7 linked regions of the Oryzias latipes genome follow. The protein of the gene in region 1 binds, or shares a complex with, the protein of each later gene. Links are inferred from orthologs where the notes say so. Each region holds a gene or a part of one and is shown on either strand. Other genes may lie near its edges.

Region 1 (4,027 bases):
CTGAAGTAACCAAAGCACGTGACCAGTATTATAAAGAGAAGTCTAAGAAAAAATACAATTTTAAAGACAGAAAAAACGCTCAATAATAATCTCCAACAGGATGAATGAGCTGCTGTAAAAACAAAAGACTTGTTTTTACAACACAGTACAGAATATCAAAGCTAATTCTTGTTTTAACTGAAGAAAGAATTACCTATAGAAAATAACAGGCAAAATACTTGTACAACATAGATATGTAAATAAATAAACAAGAACCTAAAATAGTGTGACACAATCCTCCTTTTGATTAATGCTAAAGTCATTTTTGACAGATTTAAGATACAAACTGCTTTACGATTTCAGTGTCCGACGTTAAAAGATGAAATACAAATGACACTAGGGCTGCACGATATGAGGAAAACTCGCGATATGCGATATTGGTGATTAATATTGCGATAACGATATAATTTGCGGTATATAAACAAATGTCAAACCAACCAAAAACATAATTTCCATTTCAATGCAACAGTATAAAAATCATACTCCAAATGACCCTTGTCGACGTAGGAGGCAAACATCAAACATAAAAGGGCTCATTTGATTGATCAACAGCGTAAACGGGTCCTTCCGATTGGTTAAATGCATAAAGGGATTTATTTCATTTGTTCAATATTTCAAGCTGCCATGAGTTTGTTTTAGCACACTTAACCCTTGTGCTATCTTAGATGACCCCCCCCTTACATTGACGTGTTCTCCCTACCATGACAAAGGTGGACAAAGGTGGAAAGATTTCATGTAATCCATGGACACCAGTGAAGATCACAAATTATTGAAGAAAAATTGTTCAGTGCACTGTCTAGTGGGTCTAGATGACCCAACTCCCAATGTTAAAGTGCCTAGGATAGCACAAGGGTTAAGGTAACCATTTATTGCGATTTTCGCCGTCTTTTGCGGTATGCATATTGCACAGCTTGATGTCGCGATAACGATAAATTTGCGGTATATTGTGCAGGCCTAAATGACATAATGAGACGATAAAAGCTAATAAATAGGTTAATGTCAGAATATTTATTCACAATTACTATTCATTTGTTTAAAATAAATGATAGTTTGTATTAATTGAACAAACAATTTAACAACTACAAACATAATGATATGAAATATAATATTATGGGGAAAAAACCTGTCCAAAAGTATCTCAGATGCATGGACAGCAAATATAAAACTATTTTAACTTTAAGAACATGTAAATATTATATGACATAATTAATTTAAGGCCCCAAACGGACAGCTGTGGGATCCCATTTATTTCTTTTTTGAAGGTACAACCAGCCAAGGTCAACTTTTATTTCTGCACAACCCTTTTTTCATCAGCCACTTTTCATCTTCCATTAATTTAAAAGAAACTATGAGTACAGTCTTTATTATATATTAATGTAAAAAAAAACACAAGCATATCTGTGACATGCATCTGTTTTCCCCAGCATAAAGTGTGTCACAGTAATGAAAAAAAGAAATATTTCTATTGAATGAAGCAACATAATACCTGATATAATCACTTAGCAACACTGTTAATTTAATTTTAAAGCAAAAGCTGTATTCATTTTTTTAATATATTATTTTATTTCCCCCAAAATTTGACTAATTACTCATCTGGGGCACATTGGACCCCATTTATAATGTAAAGATATAAGATAGTTTTCTGTCTGCTAAAATGTCTATATGTTTAAATACTACAATTATGGGTTTCAGGTCAAAAATTAAGCCTTCACCTTTCAACTGTCAGTCTTAGGATATAAGATTGTATCAGTAGAAATTGAATATTAAAAGGTTCAAGGTATGGCGTAAATTTAAGGCAAATTATGTGATTCTATATTCTATAAAGACAGCTTAAATCAGGTGTTCTCGTCGTGCATTTTGTTTCTCTATTTATTCAAGGTAGAACTCAGAATTTGTGGTCAAAATTTTACCATGGCGACGAAATATGTTCAAGTCTATCCTGAATTTTCAGAACTACCCATAAAAACTAGATTTCCAGCTTCTGTGGCTGATATTTCATTACAAATAAATGACTATAAACGTCTCTGCTTATAGTAAGTGCTATATATTATAAACTAAAGCTTGAAAATATCATTTTAACTAGGGCATCCCATACATTTTCTTTTGTATTTCTTTTCCTTACATTTCTCCATTGATGTACTCCAGTCTTTTTGTGACCGTGGCCTTGGCTTCATCCAAGTCTTGCTTCACTAAAACTGGACCGATAAGCTTGTAAATGGTGTTAGAACTGTCCAGCAGATCGAGCTCCTGGAAATATACAGGTCACATCTTCAGTCAAACTGAACATAAAGATATCTAATGGACAAAAACATGTTGTTAAGGGTTAGGCGTGTACCTCTTTGACTATGTTGTTTTCTGTCAGCTGCGTCTCCAGTTTCTGCCTGACGGACATACTTTTACTCACATCTGAAAAAAAAACAGACATTTGTAAGTTGTATTTCTTTTAATACGTCAAATCTCAAAGTTACTTTAAATATTTGAAACATGGGTGCAGGCATGGCTAACTAACTGCTGCCCGATGGTAACAACATCATGGCACACTAGCAGCTAACAGGTACCTACCTTTCTGCACCTGCGAATATTTTTCTAATTCCGCTTTTAATTTCTTTTGAATTGCATCTGCCATGTTTTATGACTTGTTTGTAATAACCGTGTAAACGTTAAATAAATGTATCTAGAGGTTTCAGAGCTAACAACACAGAATGGGAGAACTGCGCTAGCTAACCGGAAGGAGCGACGGATTTAGCGGAAGTTGTGAAAGATTCACTGCCATCCAGAAAATCGGAGTTTCCGCAGTCGTACAAGAGAAGAGTTTTATCAAATATTTTCTATTTCTGTCCAATGTATATCATATTAGATGAAGAAATTGCATGAAATTTGAAAAATATCTTATTTGATTAGGATTTTTTTGACTTAGTAGTTATACACACAAGTTATTACATTATTCTCATAGTCGAACAATAGAAGATAATAGATATTTTAAACTTTGAATTGCACACATAACATTTAAAAATAAAATTAATTGCTGCCACATCTCATTCAAAAAGGTATGGATAAATCTTGGTCCACCAGCTCTGATCAGTCTAAGGGGATCTCCAACATGGAAAGAGTTGATGTCCTCTCTGTATTAAATCATAATAAATCATGTAAGGGGCTAATACCTGGCATCAAGCCACTGACCTTCAAAAATCACAAGAGAAATGAAAATTGGTTTTAAAAAAAAAGTGAGACGGCAGTTGCCCAATAAAGTGGTGGACACTCAGGGACTGTGACCCTAAAACTGGGAGAAAGATTTAAGATCAACTTTATTAATCCACTTTCAAGATCAACTTTATTAATCCACGAAGGGAAATTTGAGAAAAGCGATTCTTCAACAATAGTTTTGCCTTGGTTTGCTTTACATCAATAAACAATAGAACCTTGGAAGGTTTAGTAAGTCAGATAAGTAAGTTGAGGAATAAATGTTTGTATGGACCCTTTGTGTGCGTGTGTGTGTGTTTGTTTGAACAACTTGTTCACCTCTCGGCAGATCCCGTCATTTGTCACCACAGTGGTATTTTGATTGGAAATAAATTGTAGTATTTGTAGTATCATTGTTTTAATGAAAAATCTAAAATGCAAAAGTGGTAAGTAGTAGTAGTAGTAGTTGCTGTAATGGTAGTACATTTGTATGGGTTTTTTTTTTTATTAAAAATCTAAAATACATAGCAGTTGCAGAACTAGCATCATTATTATTTGAACAAAAACCTAAAATAAACAGTAAGCCTGTGGTAGTAGTAGTAGTAGTAGTAGTAGTAGTAGTAGTAGTAGTAGTAGTAGTAGTGGTCATGGAAGTAGTATCGTTTTGATGATTCAAAATCTAAAATACTTAGTAGTCGTATCATCATGTTTTGAACGAATTTCTAAAATACACAACGAACGCTGTTACTGATGGGAAGATTTTGGTTTTAATTATGCAATGAAAAAAAATTAGACAACCACACATCAC
Region 2 (3,942 bases), on another chromosome or scaffold:
TCACGTGATCCCAGGAACCAATCAGACGTCAATACCAAGTTCAGTCATCATAGGCCCTTAGGTAAAAAAAAAAAGTTGAAGTGGTAAAAGACATTACATCTTGGCACTTTTAAAAGTGCTAAACAGTGTGAAGAAATCAAAGAGGCCCCACGTGCGCCACCCGCTGTCCATAAGGAGACACTGCAGGAATGTTTTATTGGGCCGCATCAAATGTCAGATACACTTGACAGTTCCCGTTATAATTTATTAAAAACGGACAGAGACATTCTTAAATTACACTAAATATAAACTACTTGACTCATGGGAAAAGTATTGCTCACAAACGTGACATACATCCAAAAGTATTAACATTTATTTATGTACTTATGTCTTCTAACTTTAAATTCGTGTAAAGTAAATCTTGTACAGAATATTTTCTATATAGAAAAGAGCAAAACATACGAATATTTTTGTAATTTGGTGCAAGAATATATTAATATCGGTAAAGAAAAACTTGAAAAACAACAAATACGTTATTTGGTATCGCCCATCCTTGCTTCACTACTTGTGCACATGCGCAAAGCATCTCAATATTTAAAGGAACAGCGCTTTGGCAAAACAAGCGTTTTTAAGTCGGTTTCGCGTTTGTGGTTTACCCGTGAAATCGCAGAGGCAGAAATGAAAACACATTGTAAATACCCGTAGTTTGTCAGCTGAGATGGGTGGAAAATGCGGGCGTTTATTTGGCTGTTCGACCTCCATGGTCGTGCCTCCGTCTGGCTCCAGTTTTCTCTTCTGGCTCTTCTTTGACTTCACTTTCGTAAACGATTCCCCGTCATCGTGCTTCTCCGGCGCCGTAGCTCCGCTTTCACTGGCGTCCATGGCAAAATACAGTCTTTAAAAGTTTAATAAAGTCCTTAAAAGGGTGGTGTGGACTGAACGGGGGGACGCACGAGATTGCCCTCGTGCACTGAAAAGGACCCCAAGGGTGGCGTCGTCGACGCTCGAAACAAAATGTTATTACCAGGTGTATCAAAAAGTACAATTTAAATGTAATTTAATCACCATCCCGCTTTTTAAATCCAAATAACTGTAAAAAAAATATTTATGTATGTGCTTTAAGAATAATTTAATGTATTTATTTTTAAATATCGGGAGAAAATCAGGCATATTTGTGGGCACCTATAAAGTCAGGACCTAACGTTGATATTTTGGTAGATTTTCTGTAGCGCAAAGTTCTATTTGATGTTCGATGTTTGCTTTGGTTTATTCGCTTAAATCGTAGTTTTCTGCTTCGGTGAATATGTCGTCTTCGCTGTCAAAGCCTCAGATCATCGCGCATGCTCACACGGGTCTAAACTTCACTGTGTTCGACTGTAAGTGGATCCCCTGCAGCGCCAAGTTTGTTTGTTTGGGCAACTTTCCGAGAGGAACCGGGGTGATCCAGATCCACGAGCTGCAGCACGGAGAAGTACAGCTTGTTAAAGAGGTGCACTGATGTCTTCATGTTGAAATCTTTCACCTTTAACCTCAACGAGCTGCTCTGAGCTGTCCAGAGAAGGTTTTCTCGCTTGTAGCCATGGCAACCCTAACCCAGCAAACACAGATTGAGTGCTAAGAATATAAGAACCTGTGATGTTTTTCAGCTCGAGAAACCCAAACCTATAAAGTGTGGCACGTTTGGGGCATCTTCCCTGCAGACCAGACACATAGCAACCGGGGATTTTGATGGAAATCTAAATATCTGGTATTTTGTCTGCATTTTCTCCTGCAAAAATCCATGTGTTGTGTTTTTCTGAGGTGATTTCTGAACAGATTTGTCATGGACAGGAATCTAGAGGCTGCTGATGTGCCTGTGTACTCTGTGAAGGCCCATAAGGAAATAGTCAACAGTATAGACGGAGTCGGAGGTCTGGGAATCGGAGAAGGCGCTCCTGAGATAGTGACCGGCAGCAGAGATGGTGAAGGCCATAGAGGCAAGACACAGTTAGAACAGCAAGAGTGGATCTGAGGTTCTGTTGGGTTTTCACAGGAACAGTAAAGGTGTGGGATCCCAGACAGAGAGACTGGCCTGTGGCCAACATGGAACCACTTGAAGGGGAAACCAGGAGGGACTGCTGGACTGTTGCATTCGGTGAGCAGAATTTTCAAAATAAAAGTTTTCACTTCTAAACCATAAGGATATAATGCTACCTATTCAGAGGACAGGAAAGTCCCTGTTTGACACCACAAAAGATGGTAAAGGTGAAGTTCAGTTTGATGCTACAGCATGCTGAGGTATCACTAAAGTCATATGGATCACCGTAAGGGTTCTGAAGTGTCAAAACGTTCAAATTTGTTCCGGTTAATTTAAATAAACGAACATTTTTCCTGAAAATCCTCAAAAATGTGATTGAATAAAGCAATTCTGCAGAGAAGGGTGGAACCAAATTTGTCCACAGGCACCAAAAATGTAATCAGACACAGCATAGCAGAAAATATAGACACATTTGTTCCTTACGAATCAAAATCGTCATTGGGTTGTGATTGTTTGACACCATAAAGCCTTTGACACTGTGAATTATGCCACAGTTCTGGCTTAAATATGATTTATCTTCATCCTGCTGTTTATTTTAGTAAAATAAAGTTCTATAACATTCTATAATTGTGTACAACAGTACAGAACTTTTTGAAATCCTTCATAAATTTGTGAAAGCCTGTTTTTTATTCGTTTGGCCTCATAACCGGCTTTCTTAAAACGATTTCAGGTCACGCCTTCAACCAAGAGGACCGATGCGTTTGTGCCGGCTACGACAACGGAGACGTCAAGCTGTTTGACCTGAGGAACATGTCTCTGCGATGGGAAACCAACATCAAGAACGGGGTGGGCTGAGGACATTACTCGTTTATGTGCGTGATCATAAATGATGCTGTGATTCTGTGTGGGTTCTCACTGGGATTCCTTTTTCCTGCGTTACGTTCAGGTTTGCTGCGTGGAGTTTGACAGGAAAGATATCAACATGAACAAGCTGGTGGCCACGTCTCTGGAGGGCCGGTTCCACGTGTTTGACATGAGGACGCAGCACCACACCAAAGGCTTTGCCTCTGTTTCTGAAAAGGTAACAAACCTTTGGGGACTCAGTCAGGTGCACCATTTTAGCATTTCCAGAAAGAGACAGCATCCCTCTAAAAACAACAGCAGTCAAAGCAAACAGAACTGTTTTGCTGCAAATGTCTTGAAGCAGGAGCCAGTCTGCTCACAAAGGAGCTGCAAACATTTGTTTTTTGCTCAGCTGGAAGATCAACTGATCAAATGTTTTTTTTCTAATGAAGGTGAACATTAAATTCACAAATTCAAACGTTCAATGTTCAGAACAATTTGAGCATAACCAACACTATTTCTCATTTCTATCTCTTATTTTTATTTCATTATTTCATTGCTTTCACATATGTAGTGAAATGTAACTTTTCAGTTTGTTTTGGCTTTTGTTTTATTATTTAAGTGCCTCAAGGGCCTGAATCATTCTTTTCTTAAGCCTTTCAGAGTAACGTATGTCCATATACATGATGATTATATATATGATGATAATATATATATATATATATATATATATATATATATATATATATATATATATATATATATATATATATATATATATACGACTGAGGCTCCTAATTAAGCTAACACTTTAAAATTTATTAGATAATTTTATTAATTAAAATAATTTCAACACACCGTTTGCATTTTCAACATTCTTTAGCTAAAACTAGCCTCTTTACTGACGTTAGGATTTAGCATCTGTAGTATTTTCAGCATTTTATTTATTTATTTATTTGTGTTTTTTTTATGTATCGCCTTTTCAGCACATTCTTTGTAAATACTGATGTAAAAGAAGTTTGTAATGTCTTCAAATACTTAAACTTTTAGCTGTTTGTCGGCCTTTTCATCACATATTTTGGCACTAAACATGAGGCTACATT
Region 3 (3,949 bases), on another chromosome or scaffold:
TCGGACGTCGGTTTCCCAAAAATGTTGAATAAAAGACCAGGTTGTCACACGGACAACCATCGTGTTCATTTGGGGTTGTCCTCCGGGAAATCTGGTTGTCTCTGACAACAGGATAACTGCTTATTTCAAACGCTGCAAAGTTGTGAAAAAACGTTTTTTCTCTGCTTTAACAAACCCTATGTCTTCATGGATATAATTCCAAAACTATCTGGCTTGGTTGCCATGGTTCCTGTTGGATAAATGGATCGATTACACTCACCAATTGCCCTCCTGAAATTCTCCATCAATACTTCTGTTTTCTTTATCTCAGACGAGTAGACCTCACTGCCCACCATGGGGCAAAACGGAACCTTGTTCCCCAGCTCCTGAGCGATGGCCAAAGCCAGGGCCGTCTAAAGGCAGAAGACACACGGCGTCACAGTAAGAGTCTGCATGAAGGACGAGCGTTAGAGTCCGCCGGCATCTTCACTGATGCTTTACCTTTCCTGTTCCAGGGGGTCCTGCCAGTAAAATGGCCCTTCCTGCCATCTTTTTGGCCTGGATCAGCTCAACAATAATGCCACAAGCCTAAAGGGTAGAGAAACCAAAGAGAAATACAACATTTAAAGTAGGGCTGCACGATATGAGGAAAACTTGCGATATGCGATATTAGTGATCAATATTGCGATAACGATAAATTTGCGGTAAATAAACAAATAGAAAAATAAACAAAAACATCATTCCCATTTCATTGCAACAGTTTAAAAATTATACTCCAAATGACCCTCATCGACATGGGGGACAAACGTCAGGGTGGCTAACCCTGGTCCTCAAGAGCCTCAACCCTGTCTGTTTTCCAGTTCTCCCTAGACTGCTCGATAATGATAACCAAAATCAGGTGTGTTCAGTCAATCAGGATGTGAAATCACTTGAGTCAGCCAATCAACAGCAAGCTGGTTAAGGAGAGCTGGAAAACAGGCAGGGTTGAGGCTCTTCAGGACCAGGGTTAACATAATAGGCCTCCATCTGATTGGTCAACAATGGGAAGGCGTCCATCTGATTGGTCAAAGCATAAAGGGATTTATTTGATTCGTTAAATGCTTCAAGCTGCTAGAAGATTGTTTTAACACATTTTGGGCTTGCGATTTATTGCGATATTCGCCGTCTTTTGCGATATGCATATTGCAGAGCTGGATATTGCGATAACGATAAATTTGCGGTATATTGTGCAGGCCTAGTTTAAAGTATAACAATGAGGAAAAAGGAAAACTGTCTTTATAACTACGATGTTGAGTAAGACTAATAAACAGAAACGTGAAAGTTGCAGGTCGATTTGTTCTTTTGTGTGCCACAGGATGTATTATCAGATACATTGATATTGTTTTGGTGATATACATTTTTGCAGGACTCAAACTGAGATTTATAAATGTCATTTCAACGTCGTATCAAATCAAATCAAACTTTATTAGTGTAGCACTTTTCCCTCTAGAGCCCCTCAAAGTGCTTTACACAAAAACATGTTCAAATTTTAAAAATTTAAAGCAAGACGTTACATTAATATTCGGTAGAAATCCCATATAATGTCGTCGTCGCCCCCCCCTCCCCACCGCCCACTCAAGTTCACAGAATATGCTACCACAGGACCCCCCCCCCCCTAAAAAAGGCTTAAGAATACCATGATACTGGCCCTTTAAAACCAGCACAGACAATCTTGTTTGGGTAGGTAAAAACACAAACGGAAATTATTATTATTATCGTTTATTTTTTTAACTTTGCCAGTGCAGTGTTGATTTTAATTTTCCTTATAATAGGATGATTCTTAGGTAAGAATTCAAAACAGTGTTTAAGTGCAATCGGTCAGTTGAAACCTCCGACGCATGTAAAAACATATTTTAACATCCACCCAATACTGCTTTTAGAATGGAATGAAATTAAAAACTGAAGTAATACATCATGAAATTAAGTTGAAAATCCTGTTATGAACTTCTTCATCAAATAAAAATAAAATAAAACGTGTTTTAGAGGCGATTATCCTGCCTTGTTCCACTTTAGAGTCTAGAAAATACACTGCGATCTATATAATGTATTAGAGTTTTCTTTGCATTTTTAATTATTTAGCAGCCATAATGTAACAATAGCAAACAAAAAACACAAAAAAAATAATATGATGACTGTTTATTATGGTTCCAACAATTTTCCATTATAAAGAAATAACTGTCAGTGCTGTTAGTTCCATCCAATAAATAAAATTAAATAATCTACAGATCACATTTGACTTTATGACGGTTTTGATGTAGATTCTTTGTCGACTTACAAATGTGTAATAAGAAATATACCTTAGTTTGAGTTTCACATTTCGTTTTTCTTTCCCAATAAAATAAAAATTGTACCTGTATGATGGAAATATAATCAAGAGATTTCAATTCATTTTTTTAAATTTAATTTAAGAAATATATTAAATGAAATAAAAAAAATAAATCGCTACTTTGGAAACTGTGTGTTAATTTAACTAAGGAGGAGTCTCGCAGGTTATCTGAGAAGAAAACTACGCAGCTGTGCTAACTCAGTTAGCATCAGGGGTTAGCAATTTGCTACCGTGTTCTCATAGGAACTTATGTGCAAGTAATGTCTGAAGGAAAATAAAATACAATTGAAACAGAAAAAAGATGATTAACATCACCTCTCTGGCAGCCTCCTGTCCGACCAGTCCGCATGCTGTCTGTTTAGCATTGCCGGCCTCGTCTAGCCCGAGTCCCTTGACGTGACTGTGTGAAGCTATTCGCTGGGTCTTTGTGGTGCTTTTTACCTCCTCGATTTTCATATTTGCAAGTGTTACAGGAGCACTGGCTATAATACTGTCCAAGCCGCAAAGTAAAGTTTAAAAAATGTCACCTAAGTGTCTGCGTTTCTCTGACCACTACATGAGGCGCCAAAAGTCAAAACACGGTTTCCATGTGGGTTACCAGGGGAAAAAAGCAGGAATCGACACCCCTGAGGTACCGCCCATTTTAACTAGTCTGAAAACCATTGGTTTTCCTCATGATAAGAGCATTTCTGATTAGTCAATGTTCTGTCAATCAAAGTTGAAACCACACCCCTGTTTCCTCCTGTGCTTCGTTTTATTTTGTTGTAATAGAAACACACAAAAAAGGCCTCAGTATAAAAAACACTAATTGATCGATAATTTAAAATATTTATTTTATACATAGAAATATATTTCTGTGTTATATTTTTTTATTAAATTGTAATATTTAAATATCACATTTTTCTTATTTTGGTTTGTTCCCCGCATATAAACGTTCCGGTTCGTCTTGTAATCGGGGACGAAATAAAGTGTAAGCACCATAAACTCTGCAGTTTTTTAGGGACACTTTAGGCACCGAAAATGACTTGTTGATTTGACCAACTAACGCAGTGAACGTTATTTTTTTTCCAAATAACTATCAACGCGGTGCTCAGGTTTCAAGGTAGGAAAACGTTCGTGCTCGGAAACTTCGAGAGGATGTCCGAGTCTCATGACAGCCGCACGAAAACGTTAAATTTCAACGTGGGGGTCCTCGGACATGTCGACAGCGGGAAGACGTCGCTGGCCAGAGCGCTGAGCAGCACCGCCTCCACGGCTGCTTTCGACAAGAACCCACAGTCCCGGGAGAGAGGCATCACGTTAGACCTCGGCTTCTCCTCCTTCACGGTGGATTGTCCGGATCACCTGCGGGACGGCGGGGGCCTGAAGCCGTACGACAGTCTGCAGTTTACCCTGGTGGACTGTCCAGGCCACGCCTCTCTGATCCGAACAATTATCGGAGGTAACGTAAACCTGTGGAAGATCATGGATGGACTGAGCATCATGAAGGGTCAGGGGCTCAAGGTCCAACATTCCCAAGCCCTCCGAGGCATTCAGACAGTATGCAATGGTGGCAAAGGCTGTTCTGTTATATGATTGATTGATTGATTGATTGATTGATTGATT
Region 4 (3,989 bases), on another chromosome or scaffold:
TGATGCAACGACATGCAGATTGTTGAATTCACTTGCACAGCAATTCAAATGAAAGGCCAGAAAGAAAGTAACAATTCTCTTGCAATTTTCCAAATAAGTCCGGCAAGCGCTGGACTTTTTTCAGTACCGTCCCAGTGTAGGTACCATAACAGTTCGGCCTGCAACAACCGTTCAGGGTCCTTCGACTAGTGCTGACGTCACATTATGTGATGACTGTCTGTTGGTCCAATGACGTGTCAGGTAGTGATTGGTCTGGACAAATGACAATACTACCATAGAAGAAGATATTATACGGTCCGTTGTAAACAAACAGAGCTCCGACACAGAGCGACATTATCTTCTAAACGTGCTTTTAATATTATGATTATTATTAGGTGCATTGCAGATGAATGGACTGCGTTCAGAACCCTTCTCCAGACCGCACACTATGACAAAGCAGCTTCCCTGCCTGTAAACACGAAGCTACGAGACTCCAGCTGCTCTGCTCAGAGACAGGGTTCACTCTGTGGAGCAGCAGGTTCATTCTAGCAGCCACAGATCTTTACAAAGGGGGTTGTGGCAAAATCTCTATAAACACTACAAAGAATAATGTCAGACACAACTTAAGAGGGAAAAGAACTTTATGTTATAAAAGGAAACGTGAAATGAGAATATGTAGAGCCCGAGCAGATCTCCACGCTACGTAGTTTGTCCAAGTGGGGCTACCGTAATGTGACATCATCCTCAGTCGAAAGGACCCCAAACGGTTATTGCAGGCTGAATGGTTATGCTACCTACACCAGCTGCTGTTGAACAAAGGCGGCTAAAGCCTGGACAGTCTGTCCCAGGGCCCATGGAGCTGGAGCGGTTGATCTCACTATGCGGCTCCCAGGAGGCGAGCTGGGGGCCAGACAGAGACCTGCTGCAGGATGGGGAGCCAGCCTGCTCTGACCTCCTGAACTTTAGGTTTTCTTTCAGGTCTCTCTATATATAACATATATATAATCTCATCATCCTCTCCCTCATGGTGCAGAGACCTAAGCATAGTAGGACAAATAACTGGGCAAAACACAATAAAAACAGCTAAACAACTAAACACATTTGGTCAAAAAGCCACACTTAAACCCAAATCCGTCCAGACAGGCAAAGGGAATGCTATCCCACAATCCCTTGCGGTGCCGATCTAACAGCAGCACCAAAGTTACACCTACTCAATTGAATTAATTTGAATGAAAGTAAAATAACTGTCTGACAACTATGTGTTATTTTTAAGTTGACTGAACTGAAAAAAATTATTTATCTTAACTGAAGCAAATAATGAAGTTAGATCAAAGTAAAAAAGTTTATCTTTCCAACATCCATATGTGGTCTTATCACCCTCTCATGGTGTAAAAAGTATTATCTGAGCTTCTTCATCCACTAAATCATCTTCAAATGGACACGCCATGCTGCTTCACCTCTCTGTAAACAAACTAACCTTCAACTAAACCTGCTCCAGACCAGGTTATGTTCAGAGCATGAGTTGCTATGGCAACTTGACATAACCTGAAACATACCTCTATTTCTGGAACTGAAAGCTGAGGTTATCAACTTCCTTAGCCTCAAACGTACCGAGGGAGCTAGCATAACCTGCTTTCTTTTTTTTTTTTTTTAATAAACTTTATTGAAGATATACAAGATACTCATTCAAGTAAATTTTAAGTACACAGATAAAAAAAAAGAGTAACAAAATGTGCCAGGGGAACAAAAGAACAAAGGAGAAGAAAGAAGAAAAAAAAAATTATAAACAAGAGCAGAAAAAGCAGTAAGTTGCTATTCTGTACATTTAAAAAAATTCCAGGGTGTCAAAGGTTCTTATAGCTTTGGGGTTGGAAGAATGTTTTATTGCTTTGATATATTGGTTCAACTCAATCATAAAAAGTTTGAATAAGGGCTTTTTTTCAGAAAATTTGCATTTATGTATGTGGAATTTGGCTAGTATTATCAAAAGGTTAATTAAATAGTATTCCCTTCTTAGTGAATTATTAACACTATAAAAACCAAATAATATATCCTTGTATACCAAATCAAATTTTTCATAAATTTAACATCGAACAAAGGAGGTAAGGTCTTTCCAAAAAATTGCTGTTGGGGGGCATTTCCAGAAAAGATGTATAATTGTTTCAGTGTCTAATTTACAAAAGGAGCAATTTTTATCAATGTCTATGTGTAATGAGGATTTGGCTGGGTAGCATCTGTGAAGAAGTTTAAAACAAACATCCCGGGGTTTATTTGAAATAAAATATTTAGAGGACAAAGTCCAAACTTTCTTCCATTCAATATCTGGGGCAATTTTTCTCCAATAGTGGGTGCATAACCTGCTTTCTGGAATACTCCCCTGGGCCTTTGTGACGTCACAACACCGCATTAGTTCAAACAGAGCGTCTTTGAGACAGTTTGATTGACAGCGGTTTAAAAGGAGAAACACTCAGAAATGCAAAAATGAAACCATGTCTAATTCCATTTGTTGTATTTCATAAGACAAATACCACAATGTCACAAAACATGATTTTCATCAGAGGGGGACTTTCAGAACCGGAGCAGAACCCAGAGGGGCTTACCGCAGGTCTCTCCTCAGAACTTCCTCGATGAATCTTTCATACTGAAGGACCTTCTCTTCCATCCTCGAGTCAGAACCGGCGTCTGTGGGCGGAGTCATCGGGGATGGGGGGCTAATGCGGGGGCTCTGCGGGCCGGTTCAGCTCAGACACTTGTAAAGAAGTTCACAGCCCCACATGCAGTCATCTAAACAAGATTCTGAACCGGAAGTACTCCGACAAGATACTTCCAGGTTTCAGCGTAGAAGAGGAGCAGAAAAAAGAACATTTAATTTCTTTTTATGTTTAAAGCACTTTGTGCAAACAGTTGTTATTTGGTCATTTTCACTTACATTTATTCTTCCATATTCTACCAGATATATAGAACGTGGCAATTATTCATAAACTAATTCCCGGGTTAAACCTTATGTGAATATGAATTTTAAAATATATATGTTTTTGTTTAATGGCTGGTTGTGCTAATTTTATTTATTCTTCTTCGTTGTTTTATTTTCGTTGATTTGGATTGTCCTGTGATGACGTCACTGTCAACAAACATGGCGGAGAGCTGCGTTGACTATAGTTGAAACGTTTTCAAAATATCTCGTCAAGTGCCAAAGGACAGCGCACATTTGGTGTCGCGTACATGTCATCAGCTTTACGCATCAAGTAAATATCCAGCACTATACTAAATATTCAACGATATACTAAAGTTTCGTAGTTTTATTTATCAGATGTGACCGAGGCAACATCAGCGCCCACTTCCGGTCTCGTTCCGTTCAAAATGTCGTGCTTATTTTGGTTGGACGCGCCGGAGCCCCGCTCTTAAAACCCGTGGACTAAAAACCGTTAAGTAAAGGAACAAGTCCAAGTCCATAAAGATCCCCGCTGCAGCTGCAGGGGTCCTGGATGATCATGGAGCAGTACAGCATCCTAGGCCGGATTGGAGAAGGGGCTCACGGAATCGTGTTTAAGGCCAAGCACGTGCAGGTGAAACATGTTCATGGAGCAGAAAAAACAGACACCTGAACAGGTGATCATTCAGGCTGATGGATGAACGTGTTTCTGACAGACCGGGGAAACTGTGGCTCTAAAGAAGGTGGCTCTGAGGAAGCTGGAGGACGGCATTCCCAATCAGGCTCTGAGGGAGATCAAGGCTCTGCAGGAGATTGAGGACAACCAGCACGTGAGTGTGTACAGTCGTGGTCAAAGGTTTGGAGAATGACGTAAATATTGTTGGAAATTGGAAAATAATTGCTGCTTAAATACATATAATAGCATTTTGCATATACTCCATAATGTTATGATGATCAGATGAATTGCATAGTCCTTCTTTGCCATAAAAATGAACTTAATCCCCCAAAACTCTTTCCACGGCATTTCATTGGTGTCATTAAAGAACCAGCTGAGATCATTTCATTCATCGTCTTGTTA
Region 5 (4,197 bases), on another chromosome or scaffold:
ATCTGTAAATGTGCATTTTATGATTGTTTTGAAGCTGTTTCAGGGGAAAAATCCTTCAGTATGTTTACATAACTGCTACATGTCAAGGAATATGGACAAGCCTGTATGTTTTTAATTAAACAACAAATCTTTTAAAATGTTTGTTTTCATGTCCTAATAACTTGATTATGAAGCTTGTGGTTTGTCAAAATAAATAACAGCTACATTTACAAGCAGAAGGCAGTAATGCTTCCCAACCCTGGGTTTTATATTTGTCTTTCTGCACGGATCTTTCTCAGGTTTTTGACCTGAAGATGTGAAAAAAATCTGAATTTTATTTACAGAGATTGAGATATTTTTAAATCTAATGTGTTGTCTAATGTTTCAGTGTCCCCCATCCGCTTAAGTCTAAATTTTAAATACATGATCAGAATAAATTTTGTTTAACACTTAAAAAAATACAAACACACCCAATAAAGCAAACAGATGAATGAACCAGTGGTCCAGGTTTAGCCACTTAATTTTACTTTGGGCAAATACTGAGACAAAAAAATGTAAACTCTCTTTTCATGTACATTTGGATAACATTTATACTATACGCAGCATAAAACACAGCTGTTTATTCATTTCGCCTCCTCAGTTTCCAAAAAAGCAGTGAAATCAAATGTTTGTATGGGCATCAGAAATATTCTGCTTGTCATAGGCCAATGGGAAATCTTATATGTTCAGATGGTTCAGACTTAAGTTCATCATTAGCAAATATTAAAAACTGTAAATAAGAAAGTAGACCAGATATTTCCAGCAAACATTGGGGGTTACTAAAAACAATGCGGGTCATTGTGATATTTTCTGGGTTCAGCTCATATAGAGAAACAAGATGATGAAATAGCCACTAAATGTGCTTGAATAGTTTCCAATAAAGGATTTTGAGTTAAAGATCAGTCTTAGCAAAGCAGAGATAAAAACATAATCAAAGAGAGAAAGAAATATGACGAAGACACTGGGAGAAGGAACAAAGGAATAATAGAGGGGAAAATGATGAGAGCGGGACAACATAGGATAGGAAAAGAGCAATAACTAGATTGAGACGTAAGACTCGAACGTTTTTAAAACATGAATACATTTTTTTTAAACTAAAAAAAAAAAATCCAAATTTAAACAACCTTGAAATGTTGAACATGAAGTTTGAGGTATCTGTAAATTTAGGCAATGGTCGATGTGCGCTTTTTTTTATTTATGAAATTTTTGCAAATTAAGATTGAATTCATTTTTTGAGAAGATTCCACTCGAATGTAAGTAAGAACGTGAAAGTTAAGAAAAGATCCCGGTTTACACTCCACTCCAGTTGGCGGCGGTAACGACCAGCAAGCTGTTTGCCTACCGCCAAGAAAATGCAGAAGATGAAGCGTTCCGCCTTCTCTTGTGTTTCTCGTAGAACATATTTAGATGCGACACCGCCAACATGGATGCGGGTTCGCAGCGTGTGCTGGACTACCTGACAGAAGTGGAAGAAGCAGCCGAGGAGGTTATCACAACCAAACAGCAGGTATGTTGTGACGAACCGCAAATCGTTTCTTTTTTCAAAAGTCATGTTTAACATAGATAGCTTCAGCTAGCAAAGAGGTCACCGAACCGCTTCACTAGCTTAAAAACAAGTGATACTGAAGTTCAAGTTGGGCTGCCTGGATGATGATCATGATGGATCGAAATTTCTGTTCACAAAATTGAGTAAAAAATATCCTAAAATAATATTTTATGTCATGTTATACTATGAATTAGATGGCGTGTCCAACAAAATATTTTTTGTATTGATGATCTGTTTGGGGAAATTCCACTCACAGAGATGTAAACAAAAAAAGAAGTGTTTTCCTCTACTTAAACGTAATAAAGTTGAAAAGAAATTAGATAAAGATTAGCTTGATACCACTCTTGAAGAAAGACAGAAATTCAAAAGTTCTGCTTTCAATCTGGCTCTATTTGACATTTTAAAGATTTTATAAGAAATTTATTTGCAAATGAAATTTTCTATAAACTACAAGTGGATATTTTAGCAGCTAGTGCAGCAAACACGGACAATTTCTCTTTTAACATAAAATCTACTATAAATTTTGATCATAATATCTGTGACATAAATGGACACTCTGTCTTTGTTAGTTTAGTTCACTTTATATTCTTTTTGGCTGTCACCAGCCAGGGTCTTACTTTGACCCATTTTCTTCATTTAATAACCAAAAATTGGATACTAAATTAGGTAAATATGAATTCATGTGTCTTTCTTTTTTTTTTCTTTTCTTCAGATAGTGGACCTGGACTTGAAGAGAAACCGGAACAGGGAGGCGCTGAACGCTCTCAAACATGAGCTGTCTGATTCAGGTGAGGCAGGACCGGGTCCCGTCATGTTTAGAGGCAAGAAAGGAAAACCTGATCGCTGCATTTATGAAATATGTCAGAAGTGCTGCTGTTAAATAACAAACCCAGCCTTTTCCAGCCTTAATGTTCTTGTTTTTGTTTGCAGAGAATGTGAAGGTTTGCTTTGGAAACATGTTTATTGAGTTTGACAAATCCAAAACTAAAGGGATGGTCCAGAAAGGTAATCCTTAAAGAAAACACACTTCCATGCTTTATGTGTTTATTCATAAAAATAAAAATGTATTTCTTTTGTGCTGCAGACCAAGAACAGCTGGATAAAGAAATAAATAACCTTCGCAGAGAACTGAAAACTAAATTCAATCATCTCAATGAGATTCAAGGTATGCAACTCTTTCAAAATAAGAAAACAAAAAAGGAAAAATTAAAGCTGACAATTTTAATAAAACGCTTTACAGGCTGTGTAGCAGAAGGGGAAACGTGATTCCTCCCTCTGGTCCTGCCCTCCTGTTGGAAGGAGAAGAGGTGTTGCATTTCTCTTTTGGATGAACATAAAGGGGTTTTGGGAAGAAAAGAAGTGCTGTAAAACACTGGTAGCCATTTGGAACAGAGGATGTTACTTTTGACAAGTTGAAAACTCACAAAACTCAAGAAAAGTTAATAAGCTAAAATAGGTTCCTAATTCCAAAATGTTAAACTGACATTTGTGAAAATGTGAAATATCAAGACAAATTAATTAACAGCGTTCATTTGGGGCTTTGCACTGTTTCTGTAGAGTTCAGTTACACAACGTACTTGTCGGTCGTTCCGGTTGAAGCCAGTTGCGTAACTGCGGAGTCCTAAGGTGACACAAATAAATACTGCAAGCTAAGAGTGGAAACACCAAGACAACAGCAGACCTCATAATATATCTTTGTTTACAGATTTCTTTGCATTTTCTCTGACTGAGCTGCTGTAAGGTTCCAATGCCACAAGGGGGCAGCACACTCAAAAGCAGGCGAAATGTTAGTCTACAGATGTTTTCCACCTGCTCACACCTACAGACTGATCTGATCTGCACATGCACTCTTCTAGACACTCAGTTCAGGAGCCTTTACTCTGTGTCCAGGTCACTACAAACATTTTTTTTAATCATTAGTGCGTCTCTAGAGCTATCATTTTCTTTAGTAAAATACAAACAAATTAAAATAAAGTACCGTAAAATGTTTGCACCAGGAGGGGTAAAACTGTCTCATAACAACAGCAACTAGTGGAAAAGATGCCCTGACGCTTCATTCAAACATTCAGAAGTCAAAGTAAGTTTCATCAATTAAACTTTTATTATTGAATAGCTAAAACTATTCCCTTCATTTCTGTAGGTAAACCGGAGCTCAGAGGCTACAGACTGTCTGCACTGTCCTCTGAGGAGATCAAATCTATCAACAGCCTCCTGAAGACCTGATTCTCCGGCTGTTTCGAGTCACTTCTGAGAGAATGAAGCGCCAAAGCTGCAGGCCTGAGTTCCAGCGCCACATTTAAACATCATTTAAACATGCTTATTAAAGGCACCTTGGCTGGACGGTTGGACTGTCGGGGATTCGTGCAGGACACTTCTGCAGGTTCAAAAGATGACAAACATGTCCTTTTTTGCACCCGGTTCCTGGACTGTTTTAATAAAGTTCATATCTATTATATTTACAGTTTTAAAGTTGTTTCCTTTAGTAGACAGCAGCAGAATCTATATTAAACATCTTCTAGAATTGTAGTAGTTAAAGATGGCTGTACTGACTGGTCAAAGTCCACTTTCCAAACTCTCTTTAAAGGAGATGTTTGGATGTCCATGTTCCTCTGACTCTGAAGTTTTTGTGTAAA
Region 6 (2,922 bases), on another chromosome or scaffold:
CACAGTTTTGACTCAAACTGAAGAGTAAAAAAAACAAAACAACTATGAGGTATGCAAAAGCTATTTAAATGCTGAGAGACTTCAAAAGAAAAAAGGCAAAGACAAGGTTGAAATAAGCTGCAGAGTTCAGCAGGTATTTCAACATTCATTTTTTTTTGGTTGTGTGATCTTTGAGCAGGGAGGTGGGGGTTAGGTTGAAACTGCTTTTAAAGGGGGTTAAGCATCTGTTCGTCTACAGACAGATCAAGTCAACAAAAAGCTTTAGTCCCCGAAAAAATGCACTTGCATGTGTTATTTTTAATTTGATGATTCAACATCAGCAGATGAAAGCATGTCATATTATAACTAAAATATAAAAAAGCTAAATTATCTTAAGACAAGGCAGGTTGGTTTGTCTTCAGCCACTACTTTAGTTTAGTTTTACAAGTAAACAATGAAAAAATACTTTTTTAACTAGAGATACTGTTCCAGCCTAGCAACAATTGGCTGGAGGTGTATTTCCCCCCAAAAGCAATATTTTAAGAAGTGTTTCTGGGGTTAAAGTAAAGGGTAGGGTTAACAAAGGTGCAGCTTTCAGAGGCTCTGATGTCAGAAAAAAAAGGAAAAGAAAAAAAGGAACAAGACACAGACAGTTAATTGGGTGTTTTTAAAGACTACTTAATAGCTTCAGGTGGTTTTGAAAACTGATCAAAAATGATCAACATATCAGATGTGCAATGGATTCATTATTTAATTTATGCTTAATTGATTTTATTTAATCAGTGTTTCTTTTTGTTGCTTTTTTCTTATATGGAAGTGTCACTTTAAATGAAAATTAAAACCGGGTAGAAACAGAAAAGTCTAACTTCTTCTGTCTCGAACTTGCTTAGCTGATTAAATTTTAACCCAATTCCGTTTAAAAAACTTTTTTGTAGTAGCCCAATACTATTTTTTTAGTCTTAAGAAAGTAAATTACATCAAATCTGTTATTTAAAGACATTCTTATTCAATCTGTGTTTACCCCTTGGTTACCTATAATTTGGCAGGCCCCGGACCCTGAGATGTGTAGCGGGTGTTTTACAAATCTGGCCTCTAGGCGGCAGTGTGCTTCGAACTCCCCACCTATTTCTTCACCCGGAACGGTTATGACGCATATCCGGACATGTTTGTCGCAGAAGTAGACGCTGTTAAGAGAAAAATTAGATAAAAAGTTTTCCCTCGTGGCTCCTTTATGAAAATGTCTTCAAAAAAATACAATAACAGCGATAATTCCCAAGAGCAAACCACATATAAAGAGGAACTCAGTAAAAAGGTAACTTTATATCAAAGACGCGCTACTGTTAGCTGGCTAAACAACACGGATATGTTTATTCACCTTTTTCAGCATGTATAGTAGAACGGAAAAACGAATAGCAATACTTTTGTTAGTATTTACGCACCAATAGTATGTATTTACTGTTTTAATAAGTTTCGATTTTCTCATGTTTGCTGGAAAAATGAAGGACTGCTGATCTTTAAATTAAAACTTAACATGATGGGATACATCTCCTGATGGCTTCATCATCATAGGGTTGTTAACGTTAACTTGTTGCTAATTTCCAGATCAAAGAGCAAAAGGTCGTTGTGGATGAACTCTCTAACCTAAAGAAGAACAGGGTACGGTAATTACCTTTTTACATCCATCCATCCATAAATCCATCCATCCGTCGTAATAAATTCATTTTTTATTGATTTTTTTTTTCTTTTCTTCAGAAAGTTTACATCCAACAGAGAAACAGCAACATTTTCTTCCTGGCTGACAGAAGTCAAACATTGTCTACAAGCAGAAGTATGTGTTAGTATTCATTTATCCTCTTGCATTGAAATTTTTACAATGTTGTACCATACTACAATATAACTCACCTTTTTTTTTTTAAAACTTTTTTTATTTTTATTCTTGCAGAGGAACTGGATTACTTGAAAAAAGAACTGCAGGATATTTAGAGCTGCAACAATGTGTGGAATCTTTTTCCAGTTGACTTTGTCAGCTGCTCAATTTGAGAAGGACAAAAGAATTTATGAATTTCTGAAGAGAAGGGGCCCCAACTCTAGCAGGGAGCTATCGTTTCCTGCTGTAGATTTGAGCTATCACTGCTCATTTTCTGCCCATGTTCTCCATATGAGAGGCCTCCTTACTCTTCAGCCGTTTCAAGACGACGCTGGAAATGTCTTGATGTGGAATGGAGAGGTTTTTGGAGGGATTTCTGTGATGCCAGAAGAGAATGACACCACTGTCATCTGTCAGAAATTGTCATCTTGTAAAAACTCTTTGGAGGTTCTGGCACTTCTGTCTGCCATTCAAGGGCCTTGGGCATTTGTTTTCTATCAAAAGGCTGAAGATTATCTCTGGTTTGGGAGAGACCTTTTTGGAAGGCGCAGCTTGCTGTGGAAATATGACGCCGAGATCAGTGTCTTCACTTTGACCTCAGTGGCAGCTGGGATTTCTGCGCTGGGTCAGTCTGATTGGAAAGAAGTCCCAGCTGTTGGCGTGTTTAAGGTTGATGTAAAGGCAGCTGCACAGAGTGGTTCTGTGTCCTTTGAGCTTTTTCCCTGGGCAAGAAATGTCATAAACCCATCATTGAGTGAAATGATGGTTAACTCTGTCCCTAGTGGGTGCAATTTTGAGATAAATCGAGCAGGTTTATCAATCACTTCACCTGTTTGTCCTTTGAATATGTCCATTCCAGAAAAAAAGGTTGAAGTTAATCCCAGTTCACAGGTGTCTGGAGGAAATCTAGAGGAGTTTCTAATCAGCAAGGAGAAAACTGAAGTTGTGAACCGTCTAATTGGTGTCCTGAGTGAGGCGGTGAGGCGACGAGTTCATTCGTTGCCTTTTGTGGCAAAAGATAATTTACCTCTTAGCAGTGGCCAGGCTAGCATTGCTATACTCTTTTCAGGAGGCAT
Region 7 (3,962 bases), on another chromosome or scaffold:
CCAGTGAACAGACGGAGTGAAGGATGCTGGCGCTGCTCCAGCGTTTGTGACTATAGTCTGTTCTGTTCCGGACTGTTCGGAACCATCCAGAACTCGCTGGCTAACAAATATAAGAGGTTTATGAGCTTATGGAGAAATCTCCTTACGAGGTGTTAAGCAGAACGATGACAAAAACACAACAATAACAGGAGACATGCCTACGTATGCATAGACATGTAATAATACATGTACTCCAATGGAAACGCATGCACTGTGCTAGGCTATGCAATCAGGTTATAGAGAAGAAATACTTTACCGTGGTGGACAAAACAAAGTACAGTACCATCGCCAGCAGTGCTCCGCTGCTCGCTATAGCCCCAACTGTCAACATAACAATTAATGGCCTCATTTTTGACAGCGACTTAAATAAAAATAATAATAAAAAGGCCCCAGTTATCGGAAAAAATCTATTTTGTTCATTGTAAGCGCACGTGACTCATTTCCACCCAGTGTTGTGAAACTCAAGTGGGTGGAGTCAAATGCTTGACAAGACAAGGAGGAAATGACGTATGAGGTTTTTCAAAACAAAAATAAAAATAAAATATAGGTCAAAACGTTCAAAAAAAGGGGGGGGGGTAGGAGATAGAGGTGCACGATATGAGGAAACTCGCGTTCTGCGATATCAATGATCAATATTGCGATGACGATATAACTAGCGATACATGAACAAATAGCAAAACAGCCAAAAGACAGTTTCTATTTCACTGCAACAGTTTAATTTAAAGAAGAGTCAAGATGACGTACTTAAATTATACTCAATGACCCTCGTCTACATTCTAAGATTTTATCTATTTTTATAGATAAAATGTGTCATAATTAAAACATAGAAGGTGATATATTTATTTATTATTAGCAAAATATACTAAGCTTTTTTAAAACCTAAATTCAGTCAGTAAAAAATAAATTTAGAAAGAGATTTTTAATTCTGAAGCAAATTTTTATTTTAATTTATTTTTTTTACCATAAGTAAATTGTCTTCAGATTTACATTTCCAATTAGCCGAAGTTAAAAAAAAATACCGAATAATTAAGAACATTTTATGAAGACTTAATAAATTCGCTCTGAAGATAATAACCTGGAGGACTTTTCTTTAAGAACAGTTTTTTTAAACGTCAACTCGATCAAACGCAATGCATTGTGGTATATAATATTGGCCAAGCCAGGAACCATCGATGCCATCGGATTTTTAGAAGAATATTAGTGATTTAAAAATACGAAAAGGAGAATAAATTGAGAAAGGATGGACGATGAAGAGGAAACTTACCGGCTGTGGAAGATCCGTAAAACAATAATGCAGGTGGATTAAATAAAAGGATATACTAGCTTAGCAGCGAACTAGCTGTTAGCTTCACATGTGGCTCGCGTTAAAGAGTCGCTTTTGACTGCCATTGTTAAAGTTGTAACTAAATCTTTTACGTTTTGTGTGTTAATCTCTTATTCTCAGTGCAAGTCGTTCCAATTACGCGCTCAGACTTTTTTTTTTAATTATTATGTGTAGGAATGATGCATTCGTTAGCCTCGTTTGAACGAAGGCTAACTTTAGCACACCCATGATGACCCATTAAAAAAAGCCAACATGTTTTCGTACATGTAGACTACATGTATGACAACATGAATGCTTCAAATCATTAAATACACTTTCACAAAGTTTGCTGCTAAACTGCTTTTAGATTTTTGTTTCTGTGATGTACTGAAATATAGTTATCAGCTCTTTATTACGTTTAGGCTTTTTTTAATCGACAATAATTATATGACATTTATGCAGAGAGTCAGGTTTTGCAGTGTTGGACTTCCTTTGTCAGCACCCCTGCAATTCGACTGGGCATGCTGTCAATCAACTTTAGGGCCAAATCCTGACCGATAGCAACCCAGATTGATTAAGATCTGGGGAGTTTCCAGGCCGTGGACCCAAAATGTCAACATTTTGGTCCCCGATCCACTTAGTTATCACTTTTGCCTCATGGCACGGTGCGCCATCGTGCTGGAAAATACATTGTTTGACGCCAAACTGTTGTTGGATTGCTGGAAGAAGTTGCTGTTGGAGGGAGTTTTGGCACCATTCTTTATTCATGGCTGTGGTTTTGGAGAAAAATGCGAATGAGCCCACTTCCTTGGATGAGAAGCAACCCCACACATCAAGGGTCTCAGGATGCTTTACTGTTGGCACGACACGGGACAGGTGGTAGCTCTCACCTTTTCTTCTCCGGACAAGCCTTTGTCCAGATGCCCCAAACAATCGGATAGAGGCTTCATGGGAGAATAGGACTTTGCCCCAGTCCCCAGCAGTCCACTCGCCATACTTTTTGCAGAAGATCAATCTGTCCCTGATGTTTGTTTTTGGGGTGGATAAGTGGCCATCTTCTAAAAGTCTCCGCCTCACTGTGCATGCAAATGCGCTCACACCAGCCTGTTGCCATTCCTGAGCAAACTCTGCACTGGTGGCGCTCCGATCCCACAGTTAAAACCCATTAGGAGACGATTCTTGGCACTTGCTGGACTTTCTTGGACGCTCTGAAACCTTGTTAACAAGAATTGAACCTCTTTCCTTGAAGTTTTTGATGATCCTATAAATTGTTGATTTAGGTGCAATCTTAGCTGCCACAATATCCTCGCCTGTGAAGCCATTCTTATGCAACGCGATGATGGCTGCACACGTTTCTTTGCCGGTCAGCATGGTTAACAGTGGCAGAACAATGATTTCAAGCATCACCCTCCTTTTAACATGTCAAGTCTGCCATTCTAACCCAACCGGCCTGACATCATGATCTCCAGTCTTGTGCTCGTCAACATTCTCAACTGAGTTAAAAAGACGATGACTGAAATGATTTTTGGGGGGGGGATTCATTTAATTTTCATGGCAAAGAAGGACTACGCAATTCATCTGATGACTCTTTGTAACATTTTGGAGAACATGCAAATTGCTATTATAAAATCCTAGGCAGCAACTTTTGCAATTTCCAATATTTATGTAATTCTCAAAACCTTTGGCCAACACTATACATATTAAAATGTTGTTTGTTTTTTTTAACCACAGCTCTGCCACGATCGAGGCTATCTGGTAACACAAGATGAGTTGGACCAGACCCTGGAGGAGTTCAAGAGTCAATTCGGAGACAAACCCAGCGAGGGTCGTCCCAGACGGACGGACCTTACAGTCTTGGTCGCACACAACGATGATCCCACTGATCAAATGTTTGTTTTCTTTCCTGGTAGGTTTATACTTGAGAATAATTTGGGAACTCATCCTTTTATCCATAAAATAACCAAAAGTTTAAGTTACACTCCAATCATATTTCGATTTATTTTTAAAGGAGTCCCCAGTGGTATTATATTTATGAATGCTCTGTTTTTAGCCAAATTCATAAAAACCTGTGTGGGCATCACTGTTGGCACGGACGTAAGCCCCTGCTGATATCCCATCATCCCTTTTTTGTTTACACACTCTCCCATTAGATTACATTGACTTTATTAGAGAATTGAGCCATGGTGACGTCGCCTTTCTTCCGGCTCCAGAGAAATGAAGCCAATAGACCCTTTTCATGGTGACGTCAGACAAAACAGAGACATGGGCGCCATTGTGTCACCGTACTTCTGGTTTTAGACGAGCAAAGCTGACAACTGAACGCTGTTTAACACCATTCTATGAGAAGAATACACACTAACCTTACCAATCGCAACGGCACTTTTTACATGATTTATTTTATAAATGTCATATCCAACTGTAGTCAATTTCCTCTTTTAAATCTTTCACAAGTCAAAATACAAATTTAAGTAATCCATCAATATTTAAGGTTCAGTTGAAAATATCAACCTTTCATTTGAGTCTAACAGGTTATATTTTTTTACAGTTTCCTATTCTTTTTATCATTTTTCTTTTTCGCAGATCAGACACAGTTATTGGCAATAGCAAAGAGGTTCAGTGT

Evidence for each region.
Region 2: pfdn6 (region 1) and wdr92 share a complex: the UniProt entries of both Homo sapiens proteins name them as parts of the PAQosome complex. The link is inferred for Oryzias latipes from reciprocal best matches to the Homo sapiens genes PFDN6 and DNAAF10.
Region 3: pfdn6 (region 1) and ruvbl1 share a complex: the UniProt entries of both Homo sapiens proteins name them as parts of the PAQosome complex. The link is inferred for Oryzias latipes from reciprocal best matches to the Homo sapiens genes PFDN6 and RUVBL1.
Region 4: pfdn6 (region 1) and uxt share a complex: the UniProt entries of both Homo sapiens proteins name them as parts of the PAQosome complex. The link is inferred for Oryzias latipes from reciprocal best matches to the Homo sapiens genes PFDN6 and UXT.
Region 5: pfdn6 (region 1) and pdrg1 share a complex: the UniProt entries of both Homo sapiens proteins name them as parts of the PAQosome complex. The link is inferred for Oryzias latipes from reciprocal best matches to the Homo sapiens genes PFDN6 and PDRG1.
Region 6: pfdn6 (region 1) and ASNSD1 upstream open reading frame protein share a complex: the UniProt entries of both Homo sapiens proteins name them as parts of the PAQosome complex. The link is inferred for Oryzias latipes from reciprocal best matches to the Homo sapiens genes PFDN6 and ASDURF.
Region 7: pfdn6 (region 1) and polr2e share a complex: the UniProt entries of both Homo sapiens proteins name them as parts of the PAQosome complex. The link is inferred for Oryzias latipes from reciprocal best matches to the Homo sapiens genes PFDN6 and POLR2E.

The regions. Positions count from the first base shown.
Region 1 is NC_019868.2:26,685,025-26,689,051, reverse strand, and holds the start of pfdn6 (prefoldin subunit 6), read right to left. Parts: upstream 2,801-4,027; 5' UTR 2,666-2,800; coding exon 2,602-2,665; intron 2,446-2,601; coding exon 2,375-2,445; intron 2,287-2,374; coding exon 2,162-2,286; intron 1-2,161. UniProt on the Homo sapiens protein: Binds specifically to cytosolic chaperonin (c-CPN) and transfers target proteins to it. Binds to nascent polypeptide chain and promotes folding in an environment in which there are many competing pathways for nonnative proteins.
Region 2 is NC_019873.2:11,204,578-11,208,519, forward strand, and holds the start of wdr92 (WD repeat-containing protein 92), read left to right. Parts: upstream 1-1,142; 5' UTR 1,143-1,282; coding exon 1,283-1,468; intron 1,469-1,625; coding exon 1,626-1,726; intron 1,727-1,809; coding exon 1,810-1,940; intron 1,941-2,011; coding exon 2,012-2,113; intron 2,114-2,726; coding exon 2,727-2,842; intron 2,843-2,942; coding exon 2,943-3,077; intron 3,078-3,942. UniProt on the Homo sapiens protein: Key assembly factor specifically required for the stability of axonemal dynein heavy chains in cytoplasm.
Region 3 is NC_019863.2:3,775,525-3,779,473, reverse strand, and holds the start of ruvbl1 (ruvB-like 1), read right to left. Parts: upstream 2,801-3,949; coding exon 2,660-2,800; intron 568-2,659; coding exon 481-567; intron 393-480; coding exon 260-392; intron 1-259. Other genes in the region: eefsec (selenocysteine-specific elongation factor), read left to right, coding at 3,482-3,785. UniProt on the Homo sapiens protein: Possesses single-stranded DNA-stimulated ATPase and ATP-dependent DNA helicase (3' to 5') activity; hexamerization is thought to be critical for ATP hydrolysis and adjacent subunits in the ring-like structure contribute to the ATPase activity.
Region 4 is NC_019865.2:33,765,944-33,769,932, forward strand, and holds the start of uxt (protein UXT), read right to left. Parts: upstream 2,801-3,989; 5' UTR 2,678-2,800; coding exon 2,580-2,677; intron 1-2,579. Other genes in the region: cdk20 (cyclin-dependent kinase 20), read left to right, coding at 3,465-3,545, 3,628-3,741. UniProt on the Homo sapiens protein: Involved in gene transcription regulation. Acts in concert with the corepressor URI1 to regulate androgen receptor AR-mediated transcription. Together with URI1, associates with chromatin to the NKX3-1 promoter region.
Region 5 is NC_019863.2:18,202,525-18,206,721, reverse strand, and holds the start of pdrg1 (p53 and DNA damage-regulated protein 1), read left to right. Parts: upstream 1-1,397; 5' UTR 1,398-1,441; coding exon 1,442-1,525; intron 1,526-2,276; coding exon 2,277-2,352; intron 2,353-2,494; coding exon 2,495-2,569; intron 2,570-2,648; coding exon 2,649-2,729; intron 2,730-2,804; coding exon of another isoform or gene 2,805-2,830; exon of another isoform or gene 2,831-2,871; intron 2,872-3,704; coding exon 3,705-3,787; 3' UTR 3,788-4,197. UniProt on the Homo sapiens protein: May play a role in chaperone-mediated protein folding.
Region 6 is NC_019879.2:16,672,538-16,675,459, forward strand, and holds ASNSD1 upstream open reading frame protein, read left to right. Parts: upstream 1-1,131; 5' UTR 1,132-1,210; coding exon 1,211-1,291; intron 1,292-1,581; coding exon 1,582-1,635; intron 1,636-1,731; coding exon 1,732-1,807; intron 1,808-1,921; coding exon 1,922-1,962; 3' UTR 1,963-1,972; downstream 1,973-2,922. Other genes in the region: asnsd1 (asparagine synthetase domain-containing protein 1), read left to right, coding at 1,973-2,922.
Region 7 is NC_019862.2:26,974,829-26,978,790, forward strand, and holds the start of polr2e (DNA-directed RNA polymerases I, II, and III subunit RPABC1), read left to right. Parts: upstream 1-1,162; 5' UTR 1,163-1,279; coding exon 1,280-1,336; intron 1,337-3,073; coding exon 3,074-3,248; intron 3,249-3,962. UniProt on the Homo sapiens protein: DNA-dependent RNA polymerase catalyzes the transcription of DNA into RNA using the four ribonucleoside triphosphates as substrates.